3 linked regions of the Pelodiscus sinensis genome follow. The protein of the gene in region 3 purifies or fractionates together with the protein of the main gene of each other region. This does not show direct contact. Links are inferred from orthologs where the notes say so. Each region holds a gene or a part of one and is shown on either strand. Other genes may lie near its edges.

Region 1 (9,849 bases), on a different chromosome or scaffold from region 3:
GGTGCCTGCCATCTGTTTCAGATTCACAAACTTGGGATACTATTATATTAAAAGCTACTACTAGAGGATAATATAGCACAAGACACAACAAGGAATATATTTTCCATATGCACCAAGCCATAAGACTGTGACCATTTCTTCTGAATGTGAACCTTGCTAGTGTGATCAGCCTTGTAGCTGAATTACCACAATGGGAGTTTTACTTCTGGCTTTAATACGAATCAACTATGGCCCTTTGTTCTCTCCCAATTGCTCCCAGAGCTCAAATCGACTGAGGACACTGGTATTGTTTACTATATCTGCAGAACCAGCAAAGAGAATTCAAGTTTGTTGATTTCCAGAAGGTACATTTTAAAAATATTTTGGTTCTTGGCAATGGACGGATGGCTTTTTAAAAAAAATTCTGTGCCATATTATGCTAATTTTAAATTCAAAATAAGTCTAATTTTAGACTTATACCACTTGATGAAATTCATTCAGAATTGTTGTTGCCTTCTGAGAAGCGTGGCCATGCAGTATAAAAATTACAGATGTACCTTCTTCTGTGCCTGCGTGAGATTCCATCTCTTCTTTTATTTCTTCTTTCACCTCTTCTTCAATCATTACTTTTCCTGTAGAGTTATTAAGCAGATGATGAATTTTGTTTAATAGAAGTGTAATTTATCTTTTCCTGTGGTACTTCAGGAGGAGCTCTAAGTGTGCAGTGTTCAAAACTGGCCACTGTAAAGGTCAACACTGTCTCAAGTAAAGCAAAAAGGTTACTACTGAAAAAACAGATGAATGGAATCAACAACTGAGCCACAATCGCTTTATGGAAACAGCAGGGCAGATGTCATAAAAAACCATATTTCAATCAATGTATTCTCAATAGGAACAAATATAATAGCGATTGGGCAAAATATGTGGCAATGACTTGGACTGATGCTGCCTTTTATAAATATTAAGTGAAATACTTATTGCAGCCAGTAGTTGAGAGTCATTCTAACGTTCTTTAAAATCTCACAAGAACAACTGTCCTTTTTCAGAAGTAGGAACTTCCAAGTTCCTGTCTTGGACAACTGCACTGGATACTTGATAATAATCTGGATCACAGGTGGCCCGTATCAACTGCCAACCTGGCCCTGCTCACACTCCGTCCCCAGAACGCCTACTGTAGGTGTACTGAGGATGGAGTGTTGCTGCCTCGAGTGCCATCCCTCCCCATGCTCGGGGTGGGGAAGCTGAAGCTGCGCACTACCCAGTCTCCCTGCACTCCTAGACTGGAGCGTGCACACTTGCCCATCCACTCTCCTTCCCTCCCCGTTGTGGGGGATGGGGCCTTGGCTAAAGGGGCAGGGCCGGGGGCTTGCCTCCCACAGCCCGACCTTCCCCAACTGCCCATGATCTGGACCTTCCAAGTTTAACTGTCTTTAAAAAAAAAAAAATTTTTTTTGGTTGGTGGGCTACGTATTGGCTACATCAGAATATTGAGAGGGAAGCTCCTGTAGAGGAATTTCAAAATTAGGCAAAGAATCACAGAAAAACATTAATTGAACAGATTCTAGAGTTGAATATTAATACAAATCTATTGTTTTAAAGCTTTACATTTAAGATAAGATTCTCAGTTTGCTTTCAAGTAATTAGTGACAGCAACTACTGCAAGAAGTGTTTAGGAATGCACCGTCAGAAGCAGAAAGGATTTTATCTGTGGTGCTCTTGGACAAAATACAAAATTAACAATCAAATTAATTATTCCAGTTTCCCTACACAACATGGATACTTTGTGATGCACCCTGCCAAAAAGCAAGTGTTTTCACTAGAGCCCTGCAAATCTGTAGATATCCAGGTTCTTTTTTTCAGATATAGATGTGGATACCATTTTTGTATCCATGCAGGGCTCTAGTTTTCACCTGCAATAGAACTGCAGCTATTCAGTGTAAATAAAACTCTTGTAACAATTGCCTTATGAAACTTAATCAGTAACACAGTCTTACTAAAACATTCAAATCACCTAACCCCCAAAAGAATAAACCTTTAACTACTTGCATATAATTCCCAAGGACCGGATTTTGACCTCCCTGCTGCACATAGCACCCTTCCCCACCCTCCCCACCTCAGTAAGTGGAAGACGCGCATACTCTGCCAAAGGGAGATTTTGATAGAATGTGTTATCAAAAATCCCATCTACATTAAACTTTTTACTATTTTACCTCTCCCTGATTATTACACAATCCAATGATGTGACACACCAGCGTCAGCCTAGTACATCATTACTTCTTCCCTTCTTCTGGAGTTCAAGTTGCCTAATCATGCCTAGAACTTGATCAGAGCATTGCAACATAAAAGCTAGCATCAGATCTCACCTTCTTTCACTTCTTGGATAATTTCCTCAGGCAGGATGAAATTTTTCTCTGAATTAGGGAAGGGCAGAATCTCAGATTCATGCTTAAGAAAAAAAGTAAAATGTCTTTAGTGTGATTTTATTATAACTATCAGCTCAGATTTCCTAAACAAATGCCAAGTAATTTCATATACAGGTTGGACCTCCGTTCCGGCACCCTTGGGACCTGACTGGTCCCGGATGAGGGATTTTGCCAGACTAGGGGATGTCATATTTGTCCCCCGTTATCAGGCCCCTCCTCCCCCAGCCCTGGACCAGCTGCCCTCCTTTCCCACCAGCCTTGTTGCACTGCTAGCCCTCCCCCTCCCTATTCCCTGCTAAGCCAGGCAGCCCAGCTCCCTGCACACCAGACTCCAGGACATGCCCGGGAAGCCCCACTGCAGCACACCAGATTCCTGGATGTGCCGGGGAGTCCCACTGAAGTGTGCCAGGCTCCTGGAAGCTTCTTGCAGCCACACTGCAGCGCGCCGGGCTCCTGGACACACCAGGCAGTCCCGCTGGGTTGTACCAAGCAGCCCAGCTGTGGGGATCCCAGCCACCAGCCTTCCACCGGGACTCTCTGGTCCTGGAACATCCATGGTCCAGAGAGTCCCGATTAACAGAGGTTCAACCTGTACAGGAAAAGGCCAAATAATTCGTAATAGGATATCTCAGTCTGTCATCAGAAGTCCCATAAGGGTTACCAGAGGACAAGATACAGAATATGAGGGTGACTGTCCACTTCTTGAAAATGCTTGAACTTTGTGTGTGTCAGTAGGACTATTTGCACATATAAAGTTAAGCATTCAAAGTATTTACTGGATCAGGGCCTACAGAGAAATTTTACATCAAAGCAAGTGCATAAGAGGGAAGAAATACGGGACTTGATTTTCCTCTCTCCTATACTAGTTTTACACAGGTGAAAGTCCACTGACCTCACAAAAGTCACCTAATTTACACCAATGTAAGAATTAGGCCCAACACATATGACATCAAAGCTGTTGACATCTACTGGAAATCAGAATTCCTTAATGCCAGTTTTCTATACTCACTAGTGCTTGCATGTCATACATGGTACTCAAATGGTCCCAAATCACTCTGGAGGAAATCTGTCGTCCAATATTCTGACTGAATTTGTCTCGGATACAAATCATGTGAAAGTGGCGATTCACACCTGAAGGAAGGAAGTTAGAGCCATCAGCGACATTTCCTGAGAGGCATGTGCATCACCTCACTGAGTAAGGGTGTGTCTAGACTACAGAGTTTTGTCGACAAAAGTGGACTTTTGTCGACAAAACTATACCTGCGTCTACACTACCGCTGAGTTCTGTCGACATAACGTCGACAGAACTCAGCAGTTTTGTCCACGCTGGTAAACCTCATTTTACGAGGCATAACGCCTTCTGTCGACAGAGTTCTGTCGACAGAAGGCGTTATTGAATGTAAACTGTCCTTGCGTCTACACTGCCATGTCGACCAAGCAGTTTGCTTTGTCGACAGAACTGAATGTCGTGTAGACGCTCTTTGTCGACAGAAGCTTTGTCGACAGTATCTGTCGACAAAACTCTGTAGTCTAGACGTACCCTGAGTTAAGTGACTGCACCAGATTCTGTGCAGATCTAATAATTAAAATCTTGGCTGGGACCACAGGGTCTTCTCCCATTTTTAGGGCACAGACACAGCTAAGCCAGAGGCAATGAATCCTGAAAGCTGCAACCAAGTAATTCTGAAAGGGGAGAGGGAGCAACAAAAAGTCAACAAGCCTGCTTGTGGATTGTTTCACTTGCACCTAACATGCCCCAAGAGATGTCCTGCCAACAGCAGAAGGGGAGAAGACCCCACACCCTTTCCCCCCACACTTCCTCGCACTCCCTCCTAGCCAGGCAGAGCAAGGGAAAGAAAAGCCCAGCAGTGGGCCCCTGCCTCGCTACATTTCCCCAATATTCAAAATTCCTGCCCGACCCCTATTTTTGCAACTAAAAATCCCTACCCGCGGGGGCAGGTCCGGCCAATAAGAAAACATAATGGAACCTGCCCCCCCCCCCCCCCCGGGAATCCGGCCCTGGGGGGCGGTGGGGGCAGCGACCACAGGCAGGAAAAGCCGCCCGGCCCCGCAGCCACTGGCCCCAGCTCCTGGAGCGGCAGGGCCCCCGGGGGCTGGAGTCCTGGCTGCGGGGAGGGGGGGAGGGGCTCGGATTCGGGGGGGGGGGGGGTATGAGCGGCACCTCCCCCACCCCGACGCTGCCCGCGGGAGCCACTCGGGGCGGCCCGCCCACTCCCGGGTCTCCTCCCGGCAGGCGCCGCTACTCGAGGCCGGGGCTCGGCCGCGGCCTGCTCTCACCGACGGGCTTGTGGCCCAGCATGGCGTGGAAGAGGCAGACCTCCACCTCGGGGCTCCACACCACCGCCTCCTCGGCCGGCGCGCCGGGCTCCGGGGCCGCCGCGGGCACGGGGGGCTTCTCCGCCACCGCGCCGCCGCCGCCGCCGCCGGCCGAGCCGCCCTCCGCCTCGCCCATCGCCCCGCGCCGCCGCTCTGTGCAGCGCCGCCGCGCCCCCTGGCGGCCGCCCCGAGCCCTGCAGCGGGGGCTCAGGGGCTGCCCCCCCCACCATTGGCGCCCCCTGGCGGCCGCCCCGAGCCCTGCAGCGGGGGCTCAGGAGCTGCCCCGAATCATTGGCGCCCCCTGGCGGCCGCCCCGAGCCCTGCAGCCAGGGGCTCAGGGGCTGCCCCCCCACCATTGGCGCCCCTTGGCGGTCGCCCCGAGCCCTGCAGCGGGGGCTCAGGGGCTGCCCCCCCACGATTGGCGCCCCCTGGCGGCCGCCCCGAGCCCTGCAGCGGGGGCTCAGGAGCTGCCCCGAATCATTGGCGCCCCCTGGCGGCCGCCCCGAGCCCTGCAGCCAGGGGCTCAGGGGCTGCCCCCCCACCATTGGCGCCCCTTGGCGGCCGCCCCGAGCCCTGCAGCGGGGGCTCAGGAGCTGCCCCGAATCATTGGCGCCCCCTGGCGGCCGCCCCGAGCCCTGCAGCCAGGGGCTCAGGGGCTGCCCCCCCACCATTGGCGCCCCCTGGCGGTCGCCCCGAGCCCTGCAGCGGGGGCTCAGGGGCTGCCCCCCCACCATTGGCGCCCCCTGGCGGCTGCCCCGAGCCCTGCAGCCAGGGGCTCAGGGGCTGCCCCCCACCATTGGCGCCCCCTGGCGGCCGCCCCGAACACTGCAGCGGGGGCTCAGGGGCTGCCCCCCCCACCATTGGCGCCCCCTGGCGGCCGCCCCGAACCAAGCAGTGGGGGCTCAAGCGGCTGCTCCCTGCCCCCTCAGTCCTGGCGGCCGCCCCGAGCCCTGCAGCGGGGGCTCAGTGGCTGCCCCTCACCATTGGCACCCCCTGGCGGCCGCCGCGAGTCCTGTAGTGGGGGCTCAAGCGGCTTCCTCTTCGCCTTAGCACCTCGTGGCGGCCACCCCAAAATTCCTGCAGTAGGTGCCTAGTGCCTGCACATCCACCCTGGCCTTGTCCCTGTAGTGCTGTGGTTCTCAACTGGTGGTCCATGGTGCCTTTTTCGGTGGGCCACAGGAACATTGTCGAAAATCACAAGGTGTGGGCAGGCACCAAAAATCTGTTAGTAAGAAATAAATTTCAAACCAAACTGTTCGTTGTCTGCTCTTTTTTATCATGTCTCAAAAAGGAGGAAAATTTTTTGATTGGCCTGGTGGTCCGTGGACTGAAACGAGTTGAGAACCACTGCTGTAGTGGGGTCCAGTGGCTGCTCCCTACCCCTCAGCCCTGACGCCCCCTGGCAGCCACCCTGATCCCTGCAGTAGGTGCCCAGCACCTGTACATCTGCCCCTTAGCCCCGGTACACTCTGGCAGCTACCCTGATCCCTATTGTGGGTTCCCAATAGGGATGTTAAATTTCATGTAATCAACTAGTCGATTAGTCAATAAGCTGGGGAGCTGCAGTGGGGATAGCTCCTGGCTTCGGGAACTAACTGCACTGTGGCTCTGCCATTTAAATGTATTAAGAGCCTATTGGCTCTTCTTTATACATTTAAAAGGCTGAAGCAGAGCTGGGGGACCCAGTGTGACCCAAGTCAGCTGATTCCCAGCTCGTGTTAGGTCCCTCCCCACTGTGCACCAACCTTAAATGTAAAAAGGCTGGAGCACAGTGGGGAGACCAAGTGTGAGCAGGGAATCAGCTGTCTCAGCTCGCTCCAGGTCTTCCCGCTTCACTTCTGATTTTTAAATGTATAAAGAACTGGCAGGCTCTTAATACATTTAAAAAGCAGAGGCGCAGCATCTGGGACTGGGTGCAAGCCAGGAATAAGCTCATTCCTGGCTCGTGCCCAGTCCCGGCAAACCCGCTGCCTCCCTTGCCCCCTGCAGAGACGATGCTGTGGGGAATTGGCTTTTAAGCTGACTCATCCCAGCACCAGCTCCCGCTCCCCCTCCTTTGCTGCCTCTGATGGGATGTGGGGGGGGGGAAGGAAGCAACAAGTTGAGGGACTAGTCAACTAGTTCCCAGTGGCCACCCCTCAGCCTTGGCATCCCCTGGTGGCTGCTAGGATTGCCAGATACCTACACAAAAAATCCTGAACAGGCAGGGAAGAATTGGTTGAGCAAAAAAAAAAAAAAAAAGGTCACTGCGCTTTTAAATTACCGTGTTCCTCTCCCCTAGCAGATGCCACCAGCCATCTTTTTGCGGAAAAAAAAAAAGGCCTCTGCGCCTTTAAATTACTGTGCTCTTCCCTTCCCCCGCCCTCCCAGATGCCACCAGCCATCCATCTGAGGAAAAGAGAAAATACTGAATACTAGGTGCACAGGAAAAAAAAATTCACAGCCATGCCATGAGCAATGTAGCAAGGTCCATCTAATTTTAAGTGCAGAGCAGGCCTCAGTCTGTCTCTTTGCAAATCTGTAAGCTGGGGATAATTAATAGTTTACCTCTAAGCCCACGTAGCGTGCTAATGGATTTAATACAAAATAAGTTTCCTATAGCTTTTCTGAACCATCCTAAAGATTTTATTGTACAAAATTCTCTGTCTTCAATAGGTTGGTACAAGGACATCTATCGATAGAGAATGAGAACCTATTAAATTCTGCAATTTTTTCAAGTACAGGCAGTCCCCGGGTTATGTACAAGATAGGGACTGTAGGTTTGTTCTTAAGTTGAATCTGTATGTAAGTCGGAACTGGCATCCAGATTCAGCCACTGCTGAAACTGACCAGTGGCTGACTACTGGAAGCCCGAGGCAGAGTTGCTCTGCCCCGGGCTTCCTGGAATCAGCCGCTGATCAGTTTCAACAGAATGAATCTGGACGCCAGTTCTTACATACAGATTCAACTTAAGAACCCCAGGCGTCCCCAAGTCAGCTGCTGCTGAAACTGATCAGTGGCTGATTCCAGGAAGCCCGGAGCAGAGCAACTCTGCCTTGGACTTCCTGTAGTCAGCGCTGGTCAGTTTCAGCAGCGGCTGACTTGGGGACACCTGGGGCAGAGCAGCTGGGGTGCTGCCGGGTTGGTCCAGTAGTGCCCAGAGCGGAGCTACGGGACCAACCAGCAGCGCCCCAGCTGCTGTACCATAGGCGTCCGGAGCAAAGCCGCGGAGCACAGGGGCAGCGGGACAGCCCAGACGCGCCGCGGCTGTCCCGCTGCCGGCGTCCTCAGAGGCTTTGCTCCCCATCTCCCTGGTCTGCTGGTCTCCAGCAGACCAGGGAGACGGGGAGCAAAGCCACGGCGCACACGGGCAGCGGACAGCCCAGACGCGCCGCGGTTGTCCCGCTGCCGGCGTCCTCCGAGGCTTTGCTCCCCGTCTCCCTGGTCTGCTGGTCTCCAGCAGACCAGGAGCAAACCCTGTTCATAACTGCGGATCCGACATAAGTCGGATCCGCGTAACTCGGGGACTGCCTGTAGTTTCTATAGAAGCCTACATTTCTAAAGAACCCTGAAGAGTTCATCCCTATTATATCTATCAGATGTTTTGGAAAGGGGCAAGATATTTATGTTATTTGTATTGCTATAGAACAGAGAGGTCCCAGTTGAAGGTATTGGTGCTAGGTGCTATGCACATACTTAGTAAGAGACAGTCCCATCACTAAAGAGCATACATTCTAGCTAGGCAAGACAGATGAAGGATGGAAGGTGAAACAGAAAAGGGAAGTGACTTGTTCAAGATCGCAATGCAGGTCAGTGGCAAAGGTGGGAATAGAGTCCAGTTCTCTAGAGCCTCAAGCCAATACTGTCCTAACTAGACCACTCTGCTTAAAATGAAGGAACTGCTAAGCTCCTGAGAACTTTGAAAAGGGAGGTCACTGTTGCCTCCTGAGACAGTTGTTACCCAAAACATTCCATTCAGAAAAAAATGTGATAATATATTATCCCTTCTGTGTTGCCTTTTTTCCTTTTTATTATTAAGCATACATGCATGAAACAGTCTCTCTGTTGCTTAGTGATCATGTATTCCTGCTGCTTATTTCTCTCTTAAAATCTTAATCCTCTCTGTGGCATTAAAATAATGTTCACAGCAAATAACTTTGGTCACAAACACAGGATTACTATTTCACATGAATAGTAAACAGCAGGAACAGAAATTCACAAGCACAGAGGCCCTAGTAAATTACCCTAGTAACAAAAACTAGGAAGGAAAAAACTTACGAGTTTCTCATTGAAAGTATTCCATATTAGAAAGGTTCAGTTTCTTTACATGTTCGCTGTCTTCTTGTCAAGACTTATCCAACCCAACTAACCCTTCTTACAGTGGCGACTGATGTTCTATACATACCTAAAAGAGGTTAAATGGTTAAATAAAATGTTTAGAGATGGGTCAAAACCAGAATCTCAAATCTAAACTCTTTTGAATACTGGGTTTTGGATTTGAACCCCTGAACCCACGTTCTCATTTCAGTCTGGATTCTGGGTAGGATTTCAAAATGGAAGAGGCCTATTTACCAAGTTGTAGTTGATGTTACTGAAATCCCACAAGAAAACCTATTTCTATGAGCTCTCAACCCAGAAAGGCAGAAATCTTACAAGAACATTTTTTCTCCTCATGAGATGTTTGCAGATGATACCAAGTTGGGAGGGGTTGCAAGATAGGGTCATAATTCAAAATTATCTGGACAAACTGGAGAATTGGTCTGAGGTAAATAGGATGAAGTTTAATAAGGACAAATGCAAAGTACTCCACTGAGAAAAGAACAATCCGTTTCACACATACAGAATGGGAAGCGACTATCTAGGAAGGAGTACCGTGGAAAGGTATCTAGGGGTCATAATGGACCACAAGCTAAATATGAGTCAACAGTGTGACGCTGTTGCAAAAAACCAAATATGATTCTGGGACGCATTAACAGGAGTGTTGTGAACAAGACACAATAAATCATTCTTCCGCTCTACTCAGTGCTGATTAGGCCTCAGTTGGAGTATTGTGTCCAGTTCTGGGCACCACATTTCAAGAAACGTGGAGAAACTGGAGACGGTACAGAGAAGAGCAACAAGAATGATTAAA
Region 2 (10,424 bases), on a different chromosome or scaffold from region 3:
GAGCTTATTTTGGATTACAGCACTGCCTACACAGCAGGAAGTCAGAGATCACTTCAACTCCTGTAACACTCATATGAGTAGTAAGGAAGTCCTCTAGCTCAACATTGTCAAAGTATCTGCATGTAGTCACGGACTGTGCTATTTTGAAATAACTTTTCCAAAATAACACTGCTGTGTAGACATAGCCACAGTCTCCAAACCTGCTGTAATGCTATAGGCAAAACCCTATAAAGTTACTCTATTCAGTACTTGATCCTTTTCACCTGTATGAGCAAGTGCAGATGACACTTCAGAGCTAGTGACCACACAACCTTTGCATAAATTACAGCTGCTATTGCTAGAAGCTTACCCCTAAAACCTATGAGTATGTAAGATTGACAAGAGGTCAGCTACCAGTCAGTCTTCTAATTTGACACAGCTTTGATAGCCAGCAGTGCTAGCAGTTAAAGGTAACCAAGACTTACTTGTCCAAAAGCCTTCATAGCAAATTAGTTTCTAGAAGGGGATTCTAAACAGAAAACAAATCTGAGTAGCTTTAAAGAGGGATGTTTTAGTAGTTCTGTGCTTCTAACAGCAACTTCTAGTACTGTAGTTGTATCCTTTACCTGAGGATTGAAGCTAGTAGCAGCAGTGGAGAACTGAAACAAGTCCAGGCTTCTGTTTCTATAGCTGGAGCCTGCATGCTAGCTTTTAATCTTCTGTGAAAGTGTAAGTTCAGCCTAGCACCCAAAGCACAAATGTAGCTCAAGATTGTTAAGATTCCCCACTAGCTAGAAAGGGCTGTATTCTCTTAAGACACGGTTGAAGATGTAAAGTAGTACAGCCATTATTTAACTTTAAAAAAACCCACACACACTTCATGTAGTATGTTAAGGTACCTCTACAACTATGTTTGTAAAGTCTATAGTTGTAGCCAGGTATCATGGCTCTAGCTTAGCACTATTCCAGGTAGCATCTAGTTAAACAATCAAGGCCCCATTAACATCACAGTATTATAGCCTTACTACTGATGCACCACTGTAGATAGTTTTAAACTGCAATATTGAAAGGCACTAGATAAACATGTTTAACTTCAACAAAAACATGCAGTATACAAAAAGTGAGAACAAGAGTCAGAAATCTTTATTCATCTGTCGTAGTCTAGAGCAAACTGTTTTTGCTGTATTTGATAAGCTTTGGCGCTATTTATACAAGCTAGTAAGCAGGAGCTCCCTTCAATACAGATTAATATGCTGCCATCCCCTTTAAAGCTCATGTCTCTTAAACAGCTAAGCTTAGGATCTATGTTGCTTATTACAGATAAGGAGTCAGTAAGTACCATCAGAATTGAAGCAATGACATTCTGCCAACAGAACTTGCTTGAATCAAAGTAAAGTACTTTACAATGTCATAGTAGGGTAACATTTCCTTGGTCAAGAACTGGGTGTCCGATAGGTCTTAAGTTGCTTTTTGGGCAAACAGCTGAGAAAGCAAAGCAAAGCTAATGCACAGAGAATATTATTGATACAACATTTATTGAATTCATCCACTAGTGTGGAAGTAGTCTGTACAAAACCAAACATTTCCTTTAACTTCTACTTCACATTAAAATCAAACAGATCTAAAACAGTCATCTTTAATCAAAAACCCTTACAGATACAATAGCTTCTTTGAAGCCATGGTAACACTTAAATATGGTTAAGACTTCAATGCAGAAATTTGGTATGTTAGAATGCTCAGTGAGCTTTATCTTCTCAAAATTACAAAAAGGCAAAGTTGTGTTTCACAGATACAGTCCACTGGAATCACCAACACTGGACAACTGTTTAATTAAAGTCCTGAGATAACAAGGAATACTGGTATCCTTTAGACAGTTTTCTGTTGTCCTTTCTTTCCAATGAGAGATTTGTGGATATGTGGTATTACACCTAAGGGAAAAAACACCAAGAATTAAGGCAATTTTGAAATGCATTTTCCCTATGTCATCCAAAATCCAGATAGTACTGCAATTGTGTATTAATTTTGTAAAATGCAATTAAGTCTATTTGACTTGAAGTTTAGTTTGAATAGCTATGAGTTGGAATTACATACCACCACCAGCAATTGTTGCCTTAATGAGAGAGTCCAATTCTTCATCTCCTCTGATTGCAAGCTGCAAGTGACGGGGAGTGATGCGCTTCACTTTTAAGTCTTTGGATGCATTTCCTGCCAGCTCAAGAACCTGCAGACAGAGTACATTCAGACCCTACCCACCATATAGAGATTGCAGTAGTTAATGACATCTTCAAAATAGCCGGAAAGATACCATAGGCTAGGGCTACATAGAGATCATCAGGGTCTTGTGTAACAGTTTTGCAGACTGCACTGTTAAGTTTGGACACAGTATTAACAGATTGCATTGCAGGATAATTCCTCAGTCTCCTCCCCATAGTTTGAAGGGGAAGATATTTTGCAAGAGTAAGGCAAAAGAGTTGTGACATTTTGGAAAAAAGTCACACATGCCTCCATGCAATATGATTGGGGTAGCTTATAAACCATTTCAGATCTGATCAAACAGTTTTAAAAGATCATTTAAAATGCAACAGCATCATAGCTATAGTGCTCTCACTACAGCATTTCAAGTGTAGGCATTACCTATGCCAACAGGAGGGGTTTTTACATCAGCATAGATAATAAGCCTCCCTGAGAAGCAAAACTAAACCAACAGAAGATCTGCCATTGATCTAGCATTATCTACACTGGTGATTAGGCTGCTTTAACTACAATGTTCAGAGGTGCAGATTCTTCACACCCTTAAGCAATGTAAAATGCAGGACAATGTAGCACTTTAAAGACTAACAAGATGGTTTATTAGATGATGAGCTTTCGTGGGCCAGACCCACTTCCTCAGATCAAATAGTGGAAGAAAATAGTCACAACCATATATACCAAAGGATACAATTAAAAGAAATGAACACACATGAATAGACAAATCACATTTCAGAACACGAGGGAGATGCGGGGGGGGAAGGAAGGAAGATAAGTGTCTGAATTGATGATTAGAGGTGGGGAGCATGGGATGTTTGAGTTAATGGTATTAGAGGTGATAATTGGGGAAGCTATCTTGATAATGGGTAAGATAGTTCAAGTGTTTGTTCATTCCTTTTTGGAGAGTGTTGAATTTTAACATGAATGACAGTGCAGATGTAAAAGGTCTTTGTAGCAGAATGCAGGTGGTTAAGTCATTGAGAGAGTGTCCTTTCTGGTTAAAATGGCACTACATTAAGCAATGTAGTGATCTCAACCTAACTTTAGTTGAGAACAGACCACAGGGACATCCGTTTATGTTTTTACCAACTTAAATGGGCTTGTAGGGGAAAATGATTAAACCAAGGATTCTTGAACACAACTCTACGACAAATTCCAATAGTAGAAGTATTTCAGAAGACAAGCAACCTTGGTCATTATGCAGCGCCAGCAATGTCAGCTGCTTGCCACATTTCCCCATGGTTCAATTTTACCTCAGCTGTCAGGTACTCCAGAATAGCAGCACTGTATACTGCAGCTGTAGCTCCCACACGTCCATGGCTGGTGGTCCTTGATTTCAAGTGTCGGTGGATGCGGCCAACAGGGAACTGCAAAGGGTCAGAATAGAATTAAAGTGACTCAGGCTTTATCAACAGACCTGAAATGGCTTGTAAGATAGAAGATACACCAATCATATCACATGGAAGGGCTTGGGACTGGCAGACAGACATCACTGGGATAAGAGTGTAAAGTTGCAGTCTTACACTTCTTGCTTCTCTACAGCACTCAGGCAGCAACACACAACTACCCCCTCTACACACATTGAGCGCTCAAGCTCATTGACTATAAAGCATACACCTGCAATTCAAGTAACTGTTTGAGTGCTTTTAGCAGGCTCTCCACCCTGAGATTACACTAGCATAGGTGTGATCCAGTCGTCCACTGTATGTTTTGAACAGTGGGTTGGACTAGACAAATTCCTCAACCTGATCTTCCATGTAAGAAGCTCACGATTTAAAAACCTTGCAATAAGAGTATTCTGCCGTAACTTTGGAGGGCTCTCCAGCAAACCCTTCCCAGTCCAGAGCGATTGTGCTATAAGCAGATAGCTCGCCCAGTCCTCACCTGCAGGCCAGCTCTCTGTGAGCGGGATACCGCCTTGGTCTTGGTCTTTCCGGAATCCTTTCCAGCTTTTCCACCAGCCTAAGGCAAAAAAGCAGAGATTAATGGGGAGCAGCACCTGCCACAAGCGCAGCGTGCCCCATGCTACCCCATACAGAACGCAAGCAGTGAAGGTAACCGGCGCGCGGCGCCTTAAGCGCATGCGCCTCCCGTATCTAACCAGCGTGTCTAATTCCTCCACGCTAGCAGGCCCAAGCAGCTTCCCGAGCGCATGCGCCCCACCCACTTCCGGTCATCGGTGGCGTCACTACTGCGCGTGCGCCATCTCCCTTCTTTCCTCTTCTCCCCCTCCCCCAACAGGTTTAGCATGAGCACCTCCCATTCAGGCAACCGCCACCACCCACCGTTAACCCCCTTCCTTCGCGCGCTTTCACCCTCCGCGGCGCGTTCAGTTCAGCTTCGGCCCTTCCCGCAGCAAGGCGACGTAGCCGCCGCACCCCCCAGTCTCCCCGCTGAGCCCCGTTCCTGCGGCTCTCTTACCATTATGAGCGGTGTTGCAGCGCCACAAACGGGTAGTAAGCGAAAGAGCGCGTGCCCAACCACACCAGCCCGAGCCCAGCACCCGCCGCGATTCAAACTGCGCCCGCTCCCGCCTTGCGCGAGCGCTTTATAACCACCGAACGTGCCCGCATCCGGGAACCCGGCTCCTGCTGCTAGCCAATCGACTGAGTGGGGACGGGCCTTCGCTGAGGCGCCCGGACCAATCATAGGCCAGCGAGTGGGCGGAGTTGGTAGGGTTGAGTGACTGACAAGAGCGGGCAACCCGCTTCCTCGGGTCCTCAAAAGACTCCGTCCATATTTAAAGTGACGTCACCACTCCTCGCTCACGGGCGTGCTGAGTGCGTGGTTCATTGGGTCGCGCTCCGGGGCGGGGAAAGGTGGGAGCCGGGGCCTGTGTCTCGTGACTGCTTATGCAGCTGCCCGGCATCCCTGCTGCCTGGCTCAGCACAGCGGGTGCCTGGTGCATCTATCAAGGTTGCTAAACGGGCGCTCAGAAAACATGAGTCAGTCCTGCCCCTCCCCCCCCCCAGGCTTGCCACATGGCTGTAAAAATCAGGAGCCTCGTGACGCTTTGTGAGAGGGAGTGTGACATGTTCCCTGGGGCTGGAGTACTCCGAGGGCACGTTTTAAGTCTCGATCTCTGTAGAGCAACTAGAAGCAGGTTTTCTTAAAAGCCGGTGAGATTATCTTGCAGCCACACATCATTCCAAGTGTTTTTAAGGAAGATACCACTTAGTGCAAGAGTTGGTCATGCTACATTTGTTTTCCCACAACAGCTTTTATTTTGTCAAATGCTTAGCTGCTCCTGCCTTCTAGACCAGTGGTCCCCAACCTTTTGGGGGTGCTGGGCACCTGGGGGTGGGGCCACTCACGTGCCGGGTACCTGGGGGGGGGGGGGGCTGTGCATGCACCCGGGGGCAGGGCCACCCATACGCCGCGTTCTCAGTGCTGGCGCCACCCATGCGCCACACTCCTGGGGCCGGCGCTGTTCCTATGCTGCACGGCCAGGGTTGGGGCTGCCCATACACCACGCTCCTGGGGCCGGTGCCACTCCTGTGCCGGGTGCCAAGGGGCGGGACCGCCCATGCACTGCACTCCTGGGGCCGGAACAGCCCATATGCTGCATGCCTGGGGCTGGTGCCGCTCCTATGCCACGCACCCAGGGCCGGCACAGCCCCATGCACTGCGCGCCTGGGGGCGGGACTGCCCATGTGCTGCGTGCCCGGGACTGGTGCCACCCCTGTGCCACGTGCCCGGAGCCAGCACCATCCATGCGCCACGCGCCGAGGTTCAGGGCCGGCCCCGATCACTCGGCGGGTGCACAGAAATGGCCTGGCGGGTGCCATGGCGCCCACAGGCACCACGTTGGGGACCACTGTCCTAGACTAAGGGGAGACTTTTTAGGACCTTTCCATTTATTCCAATGAGTCTCAAGAACAGTTACCCATTGCGTGTCTGCGGGAGGTGGGTGTACCATAATAAGGGTCTAGTCAGGGGCGCCCCGTCATTACGTCACGGCCATTGACGACCGTGCAGGTGGGGGCGCCAATCGCGCCTTCCACCTGGGGCGCCAGCTGCCGCAGCCAGCCTTGGGCCGCTTCTGGGTCTAGTCAAGTGACAATCAGGAAGGAAGATGTTTCCAATGGAGTTATCTTAACATGATTAATAGTTCTCTGCTCACCCTTCTCAAGCACAAATCTTTGAAAGCATATTGCAACCTATGTGTATATCTACAGAGGCCCTCAACCTTGAGTTAGAATTAATTGGCATTCTATACTCAGCTAAAACCCCATGTAGACATTTTGTCAGGAACTAGAAGTTTTTCCATGTAACTCCATTAGGTATCTTGCAGGTTTCTTTGAATTACCTGGTATTAATCACTGTCAAGATAGGAGACCAAAGACATCACTGATTGATGCAGTATGGCAATTGCTAAGTCAACTGTCATAAACTTGGTAAATGTGGTGGCAGGAGATGATTGGTGAAGCACTTTTGATTTAGGAATTCGTTTCCCATCCTACTGTTTTATTGTTGCTATGCTGAGAAACTGAAATCCTCAAACAGAATTAACTCAAAGTTTGATCTTGTTCTGAATTAAAACAAGAGCTTAAATTTAGAAGTTTTCAATGAAAAGGGCGTCCCTATCACAGCAAGGCTACGTCTACACTGGCCCCTTTTCCGAAAGGCGCATGTTAATTTCACAGGTCGTAATAGGGAAATCCGCGGGGGATTTAAATATCCCCCGCAGCATTTAAATAAAAATGTCCGCCGCTTTTTTCCGGCTTTTAGAAAAGCCGGAAAAGAGCGTCTACACTGGCCCCGATCCTCCGGAAAAAAAGCCCTTTTCCGGAGGATCTTATTCAAAGTAGGAATAAGATCCTCCGGAAAAGGGCTTTTTTTCCGGAGGATCGGGGCCAGTGTAGATGCTCTTTTCCAGCTTTTCTAAAAGCCGGAAAAAAGCGGCAGACATTTTTATTTAAATGCCGCGGGGGATATTTAAATCCCCCGCGGATTTCCCTATTACGACCTGTGAAATTAACATGCCCCTTTCGGAAAAGGGGCCAGTGTAGATGAGCCCCACAAGTCATCCTATGCTGAAAACTGAAAGGGCAGGCTGTCAAGAAGCCACTCCCAGACTCCTCATCAATCCACCAGATAGAAAGTCTGGCAGGATTCCATGAAGCCCTGCCTGCTTGCCATCTAGCCTTCATCAAAATTAAACCATCTCTACAGAACACTTAAAATTTTGACAAATCAGTATTCTGAGGGGAAAAAGTCTATTTATAAGTGCAAGATAAGGTCATTTTCAGACTTGCTGGAGAGGATAATACTGTTATTTCCTCAAGTAATGTTCTGAGGGAAGACGGGTCATTTTAACTTTGGTCAAAAGTTTCAGAATATTTTATGTGCATACACCCTCAAAGATTTAATGATGGGCGGGCTTTATAAGTAACAAAAAATAAGAAGTCCCTGGTATTTATATTGTAACAAGTTACTCTGCGTGGACCTTCAACATATCTTACTCAATGAAAGTTTCAATTGTCTGGCAATCTAAGCAAGTGGCATTTTTAGATATTGCAGCATTACCATCTTGAACGTACCATTAGCATTTTATAATAGTCTTCATCTAAAATAGAATTTATTTGATCATTGTATAAGGTGTCTCCGGTGACAAAGGGGCACATTTTTAAAGTTATTTGGATGTCTGAAGATGTAGGATTTTTAACTATGCCTGGGGTATTCAATTTCTACTGAAGTAATTTTGACTTGCTCACCCGGGTACTTTTGAGAATCACTGTAGGACCCTGTCTGCCTCTTTAGATATCTAGGGCTAGATTCACAAATAAAACTGGTTTCCCCTGACGTACAGTGAATTCTCAGCCACTGGTGAGCCATCCAATGCATGGGGAAAGTTAAATACCTACAAAAGGGGGTTGAAACCTCCACACACACTCCTCATTGGTGGGAATGGCTCAGATACTTTGGTGGGAAATGTCAAGGGGCAGGGCCAAATTCTTCAGAGGTAGTTAAATTCCTTGACTGAATTCACAGCCGCTACCTCGCTTCTGCAGTGAGGTGCCTAAGGCAGGTCAGCCTTTTCTTGTGTCAACAGCCACATCCATCAGTGCTAATAAGTCAGTGGTTAGAGCACTTGCCTGGGATGAGAGAGACCTGCTTTCAAATTCTTGCTCTGCCTGATTTGGAGCAGCAATTTGAACTTCATTTCCTACATAATGGGGGAGTCCCCTGGCTATTGAGCAGAGAGATTTCATGGATGACTCTGTAGCCTGTCTGGCTGCTGGAGCATTTGCCTGGAAGGGGAGACATCCAATCTCCTTGAACTAGTGATCTTTTAAAAAAGTTGTTTATCCACTTTGGACAGCTTTTATGGGAGAGACTGAGGGAGCCCCACATCATAATACCCCATTGCCTAACAGTTAGCTTAGTTCAAATCAGAGAGAGTGTGTGCAACTGAGGGTGTCCCACATCCTGGGTGGGAAATCCACTTCTGGACTAAAAGTTTTGAGAGGTCATGCCCCTCACAGGCTTCTTGTTAGAACACTTAAAGAAGCTTTGCGCAAAGAATCCCAATCAGGAAGAGACACCTCCCTGCAGACTGGCTCAAGAGAGGCATGGGGCTTTACACACCCTCCCTCTCAGCTTGGCATCTCCCACAGCTATTGTAGAAGCAGAACTACCTACCATGTTCATTTGTGTGAATCCCATAGTGAGGTACTCAGTTCTCCCCCAGCCAACCTACAGGGATCCCAGGCACCTAATGCAGGCTTTGTGAATAATGGTGCTTTTTCTAATCACTGGTAGGTGTTGCGAAGTTGAATATCACTATGCCAAAGTTTCTTTGTAAAGCTAGTGTAATGAGCTGATGCTGTTCCAAAATATGGATAGATAAGGTCACACTGACACTGCAAGAATAATCCACTGCAAGAATAGTTTAAATAACTAAACTATTTAACTATTTAGTCACTAGTTCCCTCCCCAGCCATTGTGTATAGACAGGCTGTTATAGCAGGAATCCCATAACTGTAATTTCACTGTAGACAGAAAAAAAAAATCTGCTACGAGTATATGTCCAGCGTTTTTCAAATCCTAATAGCAACAAAATATTTGCAGTGTTGGATTTTTTTGGAAGGAAAAAAAAATCAAGTGCAGACTTTCATGCAATATTGCTGTTGTACAATTAGGTATTTAAAACCTAACGTGCACTTCTGGACAACCTGAACCTTAATCTTGCCTTTTTATATTGTTAGTTTTAATGTGATCCACATCCTATTTCTTAAATACAACAGAATTTTTTCTAACACTACTTTGCATTTATATAGCGTTTCTTCCAAAGATCAATCTGATAGACATTTATCCACAGAAAACACTTGCAAGATACTTGCCTACCACCATTTAAAACAGGTAAGTGACAAACACATTTGTGACCTGATTTCCAAAAGACTGTGTTCTAAAGGCTTGTCTATACAGATTCAGGAACTGGTTAAACTAAATCTGAACAAGGCCTTCTTGTTCTCAAATAAGAGTGCACACTTCCAGGGGTAGTCCTGAACAGTTATTTCCCTAAAATCACAAAGTCAGTGTGAGAGTTTATGAATAGAATGTAAATATGACTCAGACTCCTCTGCTTTGACAAACACAAGACCTTCCTTATACAAAAGGGAATATATGTATTCAAGTAATATTGTATTACATTAGTGCCTAGAGCCCCAATCAAGATCAATGCCTCATCATACCAGAAAAGACAGAAACTTATAGGGAAATGTATCCAGGAGGTACTGAGAAAGGCATACCCAGACTTTCGTAGTACTGACTTTCTTCAACCTCAAAATTAAAATCCACAGCTTTCTGCAATCAGAGACCTTTCCCATTTTTCCAAGTGCAGCAACAAGCAGGACAAGTTGTTCAGATACAGCTAGGTTACGTCTACACTGGCCCCTTCTTCGGAAGAGGCATGCTAATTTAGAACTTTGGAATAGGGAAATCTTTCAAGTAGGAATAAGAGATCCTCCGGAAAAGGGCTTTATTCCGGAGGATCGCGCCAGTCTGGACGCTCTTTTCTGGCTTTTCCCCAAGCCGCAAAAAAAGCGGCAGCCATGTTTATTTAAATCCCGCGGGGGATATTTAAATCCCCCGCGGATTTCCCTATTCCAAAGTTAGAAATTAGCATGCCTCTTCCGAAGAAGGGGCCAGTGTAGACGTAGCCCTAGTGTTTTGTGTGTATGTGGGATGGGTGT
Region 3 (10,008 bases):
GGCAAATGATATGTAATGTTGATAAATGTAAAGTAATGCACACTGGAAAAAATAATCCCAACTATACATACAATATGATGGGGACAAATTTAGCTACAACTACTCAAGAGAGAGATCTTGGGAGTCATTGTGGATAGTTCTCAAAACATCTCCTCAGTGTGCAGCGGCAGTCAAAAAAGCAAATAGAATGTTAGGAATAATTTTAAAAGGGATAGAGAATAAGACAGAGAATATCTTACTACCTCTCTATAAAACCATGGTATGCCTACATCTTGAATACTGCATACAGATGTGGTCACCTCATCTCAAAAAAGATATATTGGAATTGGCAGGGCTTGCTGAGCCACGGCGAGCCCTGCTCGCCAGGCACTCTGTCAGACGTTCTGCACATGCACAGATCACCCGAACCCGGCTCTTCCGGGATGGAATCTACTCGCCACAGGCGAGTAGATTACATTGATTGTTGAGCTCTGGGCATTGGAAAAGATTCAGAGAAGGGCAACTAAAATGATGAGGGGTTTGGAATGGGTCCTATATGAAGAGATTAAAAAGACTTGGACATTTTATCTTAGAAAAGACTGAGGGGGGGAGGAGATATGATAGAGATCTATAAAATAATGACTGCTGGAAAAAAATGAATAAGGAAAAGTTATTTACTTATTCCCACAATATAAGAACTAGGGGTCACCAAGTGAAATTAATAGGCAGCAGGTTTAAAAGAAACAAAAGGACGTTTTTCTTCATGCAGTGCAGAGTCAACCTGTGGAACTTCTTGCCAGAGAATGTGGTGAAGACTAGGACTTAAACAGGATTAAAAAAAGACCTAGATAGATTTAGGGAGGTTAGGTCCATCAATAGTTATTAGCCAGGAGGGGTAGGAATGGTATTCCTAGCCTCTGTTTGTCTGGATATGGGTGACAGGAGAGGGATCACATGAGGATGATCTGTTTTGTTTCCTCTCTCTGGGGCATCTGTATTGGCCACTGTCGGCAGACAGGATACTGGGATAGATGAACCTTTGGTCTGACCCAATATGGCCTCTCATGTTTTTAAGGCTTTGTTGCAAAGCTATTCTGGTGCAATACTAATGGCATATATTTTATAAAACACCAACTTGTTTAATATTAATATACTATCAGGATGAAACTAAGTTACGTTATCTTTCTAACTGGATTGCAACTACCCTAAAATACTACTTTGGGGAGCTCTGCTGGGAATTGTAGCCCAGGTAACTAAGAAGCCCTACAATGCACTATATTTGGGCTCTCAAATTGTGGGTCAGGACCCCAAAGTTGCTCATGATCTATTTCAGGGCAGGCTTAGACTTCCTGGGGCCATGGGCTAAAGTCAAAGCCAGAGCCCCACCTTCTGGGAACGAAGCCCAAAAACCCTGGGTGACAGAGCTCAGATTACAGGGCCCCTCCTTGGGTCTGAAGCCAATGGGCTTCAGCTTGGCCCCACCCCACCAGGAGGGTAGGGCTTGGGCTTCAGGTTTGGCCCCCAGTCTGGAGCAGTGGGCTATGGGGGGAACTCAGGCTTCAGTCGCCCCTCCTAGGGTAATGTAGTAATTTTTGTTGTCAGAAGAAGGACACTGCAGTATGGATGTTAAATATCAATTAATTGAATAGCTGAATAACCTCATGAATTTGTATCGGTTACTTGACTATTCTATAGTCTCGGTGGCAGGGCTGGCAGTCATCCGGCCCCACTCCTGAGGAGCCCCCTGCCACTCCATGCTGCTGCCTCCGAATCAGAGGAAGCAGCATGGAGTGGCAGGGGGCTCCTCAGCAGTATCAGGCGGGAGCTGCTCTGATAGAGGAGCCAGTTTAAAAACCAGCTCCCCTTGCTGCGGCCAGTGATGCTGCCTCTGATACAGGGGTGGCAGCAGTCCCTGTCCGGGGATAGAGAGGGTGTCTGAGCTCCTGGACCCAGCGTGAGCTGGAACTGAGCCAAGCTGCCTGCCTGCCTACCTCCTAAAACACTTTAAATGCAAAGTTTCAGTGCCGGTAGGTCCTGGACTGCTGACCAGCCTGCTAACAAATTTACTGGTGTGGGGGGAGGGGGAAAAATGCATGTAGTCTATAGCATTAACCTATAAGCTTTCGCTTAACAGTTAATTGACTACACTATTACATCCCTACTGTGCAGTGCACTTTGAGAACTCCTACACCTTAAAGGTTGCAGGGAGTGAGGTATATGAATGAATGACACCATTTCAGGAATAAACATTACCAGGGCTCGCAGAGCCGCGGCAAGCCCCGCTCGCCTGCCATGCTGTCTGGCGATCTGCGCATGCGCAGATCGCCCGGACCCAGCTCTTCCAGGTTGTAATCTATTCGCCATGGGCGAGTAGATTACATAGTTTGTCGAGCCCTGAACATTACAAATATCAGCTACAGAAATTTTTAGAATTGAAAGCATTTAGACCTCTAAAGTAGGAGAATGGGTGAACAGAAAGAGCATTCCAAGTGTGTATTCCTCAGCTGCTCTTCCCTTGGAAACAGTCACCCTTCTTATTCAGATACCACACTCAGATTTCCACGTGCCTGTCTTTGACAGTATTGGCAAATGCACAACCAGATAAACTGCTGAGCCCTCCAACAGCTGCTTCAGAGATCACATGCCTCATTCTTTGCACTCACTTGGGGGTCTCTGTGGTCTCCAGAAGCTCCGAATATTGAGATGCACAGTGCTAAAAAAATGCAGAGGGAGTTAGAGCACACAGAGAACAGTAATCACAGACAATGGTATCAGAGAAAGCTCATGTAGGACTGGGATCTCCTCTTCAAAGATCTAATGCCCACAGGGTGTGTTCTGAGATATGGATGGGGACACAATTGCACTCACTGAAGTCAAATCTATGACTGCAAGTGAGCTTAATGTACCAGGGCTTACTCTACCCTCCACTCTGACCTGTCAAAGAAAAGAAAAGCCTCGCTTAATAACATATTCATCCAAAAAAGGTAAATATTACAGTTACAAGCAGAAACTGCAGGATATTCTCAGAGTAGTGGGTTGGCGAGAACTATGCCAAGACCAGTTCTGCATAGGGATAACTGGTACTAGGAGAATGGCAATATTAAAAAAGTGACTCCATGTCTCCCTCAGATGAACAGCTTCCTCCCCTGATATCTCAAGTTACTGATCTTTCAGCAGCCATACCCCCAGACGGCAGTCTTGGCAAGAGCTGGATTCCTCTTCCAAAGCATCTTACCTTCTGAGAAAACCAGTCAGGTGGGCGGCCAGGTTCAGCAAAGGGCTTGATAGCTCTGCTGACAGATACCCTGCAAGAAAGAGCAGGTAAATGACTAGAAACCTGCCTTCCTCTCCACACCAACCCACAGGGGGGAGGATGCTTGCGCAGTGACGGACCCATCACACAGGTAATGTGCAGAACTTTCCCAGTTGCTTCCGGGGGTAAGTGCTGCAGCAGCGTTACTGGTTTGGACAGACCCAGGGCACATCGTGCGCTCCCCGGCCTGTTAGCAATGCAAAGCGCAGGGCACCCTGCCCCCTGCGCACAGCGGCTGCCTTGCCAGGGGACAAGGGCTCGCAGCCGGCGCGCTACCGTTAGGGGCCTCACTCACCAGTTCTGGTCCCCGCTGCGCATGACAGAGGAGGCGAGGCAGAGCTTCTCCCGCACGGACCAGGGCTCGGTGGGGCCGGCGCCCAGCAGCTTGTGCTCTGGCGGCAGAACCAAGAGGCTCAAAGGCTGCAGCACACCCCACACCCCACGGAGCCCCGCCCCTCACCCCGCGGAGCCCCTCCCCACACCCCGCCCGCGTGGAGCCCCGCCCCTCACACCGCGGAGCCCCGCCCCATACCCCGCACGCGTGGAGCCCCGCCCCACACCCCACAGAGCCCCGCCCCACACCCCGCACGCGCGGAGCCCCGCCCCACACCCCACGGAGCCCCGCCCCACACCCCGCACGCGCGGAGCCCCGCCCCTCACCCCGCGGAGCCCCTCCCCACACCCCGCACGCGCGGAGCCCCGCCCCTCACCCCGCGGAGCCCCGCCCCACACCCCCGCACGCGTGGAGCCCCGCCCCACACCCCGCACGCGCGGAGCCCCGCCCCTCACCCCGCGGAGCCCCGCCCCACACCCCACAGAGCCCCGCCCCACACCCCGCACGCGCGGAGCCCCGCCCCACACCCCACGGAGCCCCGCCCCACACCCCGCACGCGCGGAGCCCCGCCCCTCACCCCGCGGAGCCCCTCCCCACACCCCGCACGCGCGGAGCCCCGCCCCTCACCCCGCGGAGCCCCGCCCCTCACCCCGCGGAGCCCCGCCCCACACCCCGCACGCGTGGAGCCCCGCCCCACACCCCGCACGCGCGGAGCCCCGCCCCTCACCCCGCGGAGCCCCGCCCCACACCCCGCACGCGTGGAGCCCCGCCCCACACCCCACAGAGCCCCGCCCCACACCCCGCACGCGCGGAGCCCCGCCCCTCACACCGCGGAGCCCCGCCCCACACCCCGCACGCGCGGAGCCCCGCCCCTCACCCCGCGGAGCCCCGCCCCCCAATACTCCCGCCTGCCCGCGCGCAGAAACCCGAACAGGCTCGCGCCCCTCGCTCACTCCCAGGCCCGGCCGCCATTTTCCTCGCTAGACCCCGGCCGGGGGCGAGGGCAGAAGCGCAAAGCTCGCCGGGAAACACGCCCTGTTCCGTGAGCTCACCTTGCCCCGCCCCAACCTCGCTTTGAGGCCCCCCTGTGATTGGCGGAAGCGCTGCGCGCGCTCTGATTGGCTGAGTCGGCGGACCGCGAGGTTTGAACAAAGACAAGACGGAATCACCACGGATCCGAAGTGAGCGGAGGGGGAGGGGGGCGAGCGGCGTGGGGGGGCTATGCCGGCGGGGGGGGGCTGTGCCGGAGGGGGGGGCTATGCTGGCGGGGGGGGCTATGCCGGAGGGGGGGCGAGCGGCGTGGGGGGGCTATGCCGGCGGGGGGGTGACCGGAGGGGGGGCGAGCGGCGTGGGGGGGCTATGCCGGAGGGGGGGCTATGCTGGCGGGGGGGGGAGCACGGCTGGACTCGAAGGGTGTTGGGGGAGGAGGCGTAACATGGTTGTGGGGCGGGTCAGAGTGGGGGGTGCGTTGGGGGGGGAGGAGCGTGCCATGGGGCTGGGCATGCAGTCGAGCTGATCTTATTTGTGCCCCTTTCCTGCAGAAGCCACCTGTGGGGACCATGGCCCAAGAACTCCTCTCCCCTCTGGGGCTGCTGTGTGGGGAGGAGGTCACAACCTCGCCCCTGCTCGAGTCCACGGCAGCAGAGCTGGGGGCTGGCTTGCGCAAAGACCTGCTGTCCGATTTCTCTGCTATTTCCCCAAACCTGAGGGGCTCCGAGCAGGTGAGGGTTGCAGTATGGTGCAGTGGTAAAGCTGTTACAGCTGCTTAATGCTTTTGAAGCTTTGGTGTTATCACCCCTACCAGCCAGGGCTCCTGGCTAGACCACCATGCTTCTTGTATGTAGACCAGGGTTTCCCAACCTATGGGTTGGGACCCAAATATGGGTGGCCAATGCATTTCAAAAGAGTTGCCAGGTGTCTACCCAGGTGCCTCACCTTCTCCCCCCATTTTTGAATTGTCTTGGGCCACCAAATCTTCCTGAATTGTCAAGATGGGTCCCCATCTGGAAAAGTTTAGGAACCACTGATGCAGACAAAGACTACAGGTATGGGTCAGTGATACAGCCACTTTGCCAGGTTTATTGCCTGGCCTCAAGGCGTAGTTCTAATGCATTAGCACAAATGCCCCATGGCAAGTCACCAGAAGGAATTTTTGTTTTTCTTTTGGCTGTACACAGATACTCAAACGTTAATAGACTGGGACAAGCAACTTACATACCACCATGTATGCTTTATGATATTATTACCTCCCCATGTTCCTGATACCTCAGATAAGATCTTATTTTGTCAAATCATCTTTTTAGTAGTAGATTGAGATGTTTGCATACTACCATTTTGAAATGCTTTAATGTAAATATTTAGTGCCTAATAATTTTTAAAAATGCCTGTTTTAGCAATGCTAGTAGCAACTTAGACAAATGTATGCACTAGGCAGTAATCCTGTAAGCATTTGCTTTAATACTGCACCAGGCCTACTACTCCAGGCACTCTTTATCTAGCCCTGTGGCTCTCAACTGGTGGTCCACAGGAACGTTGTCCAAAGTCCATGAAAATGTTTTGATTGGCCTAGTGGTCTGTGGACTGAAATGAGTTGAGAACCACTGTGGCTGATGGGAGGGTACTACACTTTGAGCTTTGGCTTGTTCTCTGTACTAATGGGCAAAGATACCAGCCCTACAGAGAGGGAACCAAGCCAGAAGTCAGCTGGAGTCGGAGTCCAGGAACTAAGCCAGACATTTGTAACTTATATGATGCAAGTGTTCACAATTAATATTAAGTAACTAAGATAAGGGTGTATCAAACCCAACTCAGGTTTCGGGTTCAAATCTCTCAGTTGGTTTGCGAAAACGTATTTAGCAGAGGACCACGAAAGTAACAGCCAAATTATGCAGCCAAAATTTGCTTCATTACCTTTTCTTTTTAATAAACAGACATGCGCTTACACTTACCCAAATGCTACTCTTTTACTAATGATACTGTTATCCTCTCACTCAAAGATAAAATAGTGAATTGAAGGGTGATCAGTCCACTAACAGTGAAGTACAGCCTCATAACCCTGGAAACTCACAGTACCTTGTTGATCACTGGGGCTCCCTGCAGTTTAGGAAGGCTTCTTCTTGGATGCTGTAATATAATTAAAGAGTTCTTTATCATAATTCTATTTCCACCACCACCTTGTTACCTTTTTTTATTGCACACTATTTAAATCAACATTTGTGCCAATGTCCTTCCCACACTATCAACTTAGACAGTATTTTAATACATTCATGATTCTCGAAAACATTCTAATCAAAACATCATTCTGGGTCAAGCACTTGCTAACTTTTATTTTCTCATGAAACTTAGTCTCCAATTTATCTCTAGCTTTCTCACATGGCAACTTCTGTTCTTCGAGTGATTGCTCATGCCGTTTGCAAGTAGGTGTGCACGCATCACGTGCACAGTCGTCAGAAAGCTCTTCGCCAGCAATACTCGTTGGTCAGCTGTGGAGTCCCCTGGAGTGGTGCCACTACAGTGCTGTATATAAGCCACTGCCCCTATGGTGCTGTATATAAGCCACTGCCCATCCTCTCCTCACTCATTTCCTTCTTACAGCCAGTGAGGTTGAAGCTTCCTTTCTCTTGCCTTGGGCAAGCCTTTCCCTAGCTCTAATGTCTTGTAGTTATTCCATCATTAGTTAAGTGCTAATTATATCATGTAAATAGCTTTTTCTTTTTAGTGGGGAGTAGTCCCATCCTCCCCTCCCCCAGGGACTGAGGCATGCCTTGCTCCCAGGGTTTTAAACCACACGCTACTTGCCAGAAGTCTATGCCCATGGGAGACTCTCACAACTCTTGTCTCAAGTGCTTAGGGGAGGCACATCACATGGACAAAGGGGTTACCATCCTTTAGATTCAGACTCCTGATTCCACCACCAGCCAGTGCAGCCTGGCCCAGTGCCAAAACAGACATCCTCAGTGTGGGACAGCATTGCTGAAGGATTCTGCTTTGAAGACTCCCTGGCACCGGCATTCCCTGGATCCTAAAGGGGTGGAGCAACATCTCAGCATTGTTCACTGCTCCCCAATGCCGTCTAAGAGGCAGCATCGGCTGGAGGGGGGGGAAGGTCACCTACAACTAAGGCTGATACGGCCAGGAGAGTGCATCCTGAGCCTGGAAACTCTGCGGTGCTTAGGGAACAGCCCATGCTGTTGAGTCTGGTGTCCGTGGACTCCCCAAAACGAGCAAGAGCAGCTGGACATTGGAGTCATTCTCAGGTCTTTGCCCCCCTTCCAGGGGTGGCTCAGCCTGCAGACTGTCTGCAGGAGACCCCTTCTCTGTGACTAGGACAAGAGTCGGTTGTGGTGCAAAGGCTGGAAATGGGCTCGAGTGGGTGATTCCAATGCAGGTCACAGAACTGCGGCAGTCAGCCTTGCCTGCAGGACAAATGCATTTCGGTTCTAGCAGAAAACACCAGTGCTGTTTGTTTTATATCAAACAGGGTGGTGCTCACCCCTCCCTTGTGTCACAAAGTCCTCAAGTGCTCACAAAATACACCCGAAGGCCTTGTATCTGCCTGGTACTCAGAACGAGTTGGCCTGTCAGCTCAGCAGATCCTTTTGCTGCACCAGTGGTCACTTCCAGAGGCAGGGGTCTCCCCGGAAAGAACTCTTTGCAATGTGCCAGAACAGGAAGTGCCAGAGCTTTTGTTCTTTCCTCGGTCACCGCCTGGGTGCTCTGGCAGATGCCTTCCTCGTTCCATGGAAAGGTGGCAGTTTTCACCACTTCCCTCATCCCCAAGGTCCTGCTCACGATCTGTCAGGACAAGGCGTGGGTGATCCTGGTAGTTCCGGTGTGGCCCAGATGGCACTGGTTCATGTTTCTAGAGCTGTTGGTGGACATGCCTCTTCCTGTGCCCCGATCCAGAATCTGCTCACTCAGGATCACAGTCATCTTCAGCATCCCAGCCCGGAGTCCCTCCATTTCACAGCCTGGATGCTCCATGGTTAAATGTGCGGGAGCTGCCATGTTCGGTGGCAGTGAAAGAGGTTCTTCTAGGCAGCAGGAAGCCGTCCACACACACTCTACTTTGCCAAGTTGGAAGAGAGTTTTTTTTGTGGTTGCTTTAAAAGGGCATTCAACCTGGGGAAACCTCTATCCCTGTTGTTCTGGACTACCTTCTTCCACTAAAGCACCAGGCCTGGCAGTGGCTACAGAGAGAGTGCACTTGACTGCTGCGTGTTTATTGATCAAGTGGTGAGCCATTTCCTGAAGGGCCAGGACAGACTTTATCCCCATGTGAGACAGCCAATGGGACCTCAGTCTTGTGCTGTCCAAATTGATGGGCTTGCCCTTCTAGCCTCCAGCGAGGTGCTGCCTCCTCTCTCTCTCTTGGAAAGTGGCCTTTCTAGTGGCTTTTGTCAGCCAGAACAGTTTCTGACCTTAAGGCTTTGACGTTCCAACTGCCTTATGCAATTTTTATAAGGATAAGGTTCAGTTTAGGCCACACCAGCATTTTTGCTCCGGAGGTTTCAGATTTTCATGCTAACCAGGACATTTTTTGCTGGATTTTTTTATCCAAAGCCAGATGGGTCAGAGTGCGCATGTCACTCCTTGGATGTCAGGCATGCCCTTGCCTGCGATCTGGAACGTGCTAAACCATTCAGGAAATGTATCCGACTCCTTGTTTTCATTGCTGACAGAATAAAGGGTCTCACTATCACCTCCCAGAGGATTTCTTCTGAGATCACAACTTGTATTAGCGCCTGCTACAGTCTCTCCAGAATCCTAGCTCCACTGCTGACTGTACAGTCTTCACAGGTGCAGGCTTCACCACCATCTGGGCCTATGTGCCGATCCAGGATTTTTTAGGGTTTATATCTCACTACGCCATTTATCAACATGCCAGAAATGATACTGCTTTCAGGAGAGCAGTGCTTCAATCTGCAACTCTGTGATCTCTGACCCCTCCGCCAGAGAACTGCTTGGGAGGTCACCTGCTTGGAATCGACATGAGCAATCCCTTGAAGAAGAAATGTCTGTCTGCCTTTGGTAACTGTTACTCTTTGAGGTGTGGTGCTCGTGCCCATTCCAAGACCTGCCTGCGTCCCCTCTGTCAGGCTTTTCCGGCAAGAAGGAACACAGCAGGTGAAGGCTCAGCACCATAAAGGCCCCACTCCAGGGGGCTCCACAGCTGGCTGATGGGTACTGCCAGAGGAAAAAATCTTCCTACGACTCTGCACATGGCATGCTCACACACTTACTTGGGAGGGGCATGAGCAACACAACTGTTGTTCTGTAAGATGTTATGTGAAAGGTAAGCAACTGCTTTTTCTTGCTCCTATACACTTATACCCAGAACCTAACTTCTCCTTATTTCTTCATCTAAACCAGAGCCAGAGTC

Evidence for each region. Proteins that work in one complex are often made in the same cells at the same time.
Region 1: the proteins of bromodomain-containing protein 8 (region 3) and MRGBP purify together in Homo sapiens (affinity purification with mass spectrometry; 10 studies listed by BioGRID and IntAct, counting the BioPlex papers as one, with this or other methods). This does not show direct contact. The link is inferred for Pelodiscus sinensis from reciprocal best matches to the Homo sapiens genes BRD8 and MRGBP.
Region 2: the proteins of bromodomain-containing protein 8 (region 3) and H2AZ1 purify together in Homo sapiens (affinity purification with mass spectrometry; 4 studies listed by BioGRID and IntAct, with this or other methods). This does not show direct contact. The link is inferred for Pelodiscus sinensis from reciprocal best matches to the Homo sapiens genes BRD8 and H2AZ1.

Annotation. Positions count from the first base shown.
Region 1 is NC_134728.1:7,673,703-7,683,551, forward strand, and holds the start of MRGBP (MRG/MORF4L-binding protein), read right to left. Parts: upstream 4,891-9,849; 5' UTR 4,876-4,890; coding exon 4,701-4,875; intron 3,534-4,700; coding exon 3,412-3,533; intron 2,425-3,411; coding exon 2,343-2,424; intron 612-2,342; coding exon 537-611; intron 1-536.
Region 2 is NC_134715.1:23,412,996-23,423,419, forward strand, and holds H2AZ1 (histone H2A.Z), read right to left. Parts: upstream 4,891-10,424; 5' UTR 4,876-4,890; coding exon 4,648-4,875; intron 4,189-4,647; coding exon 4,111-4,188; intron 3,594-4,110; coding exon 3,480-3,593; intron 2,201-3,479; coding exon 2,071-2,200; intron 1,908-2,070; coding exon 1,846-1,907; 3' UTR 1,496-1,845; downstream 1-1,495. UniProt on the Homo sapiens protein: Variant histone H2A which replaces conventional H2A in a subset of nucleosomes. Nucleosomes wrap and compact DNA into chromatin, limiting DNA accessibility to the cellular machineries which require DNA as a template.
Region 3 is NW_027465994.1:706,680-716,687, reverse strand, and holds the start of bromodomain-containing protein 8, read right to left. Parts: upstream 4,675-10,008; 5' UTR 4,599-4,674; coding exon 4,580-4,598; intron 3,685-4,579; coding exon 3,588-3,684; intron 3,285-3,587; coding exon 3,215-3,284; intron 2,693-3,214; coding exon 2,643-2,692; intron 1-2,642. Other genes in the region: kinesin-like protein KIF20A, read left to right, coding at 5,186-5,347. UniProt on the Homo sapiens protein: May act as a coactivator during transcriptional activation by hormone-activated nuclear receptors (NR). Isoform 2 stimulates transcriptional activation by AR/DHTR, ESR1/NR3A1, RXRA/NR2B1 and THRB/ERBA2.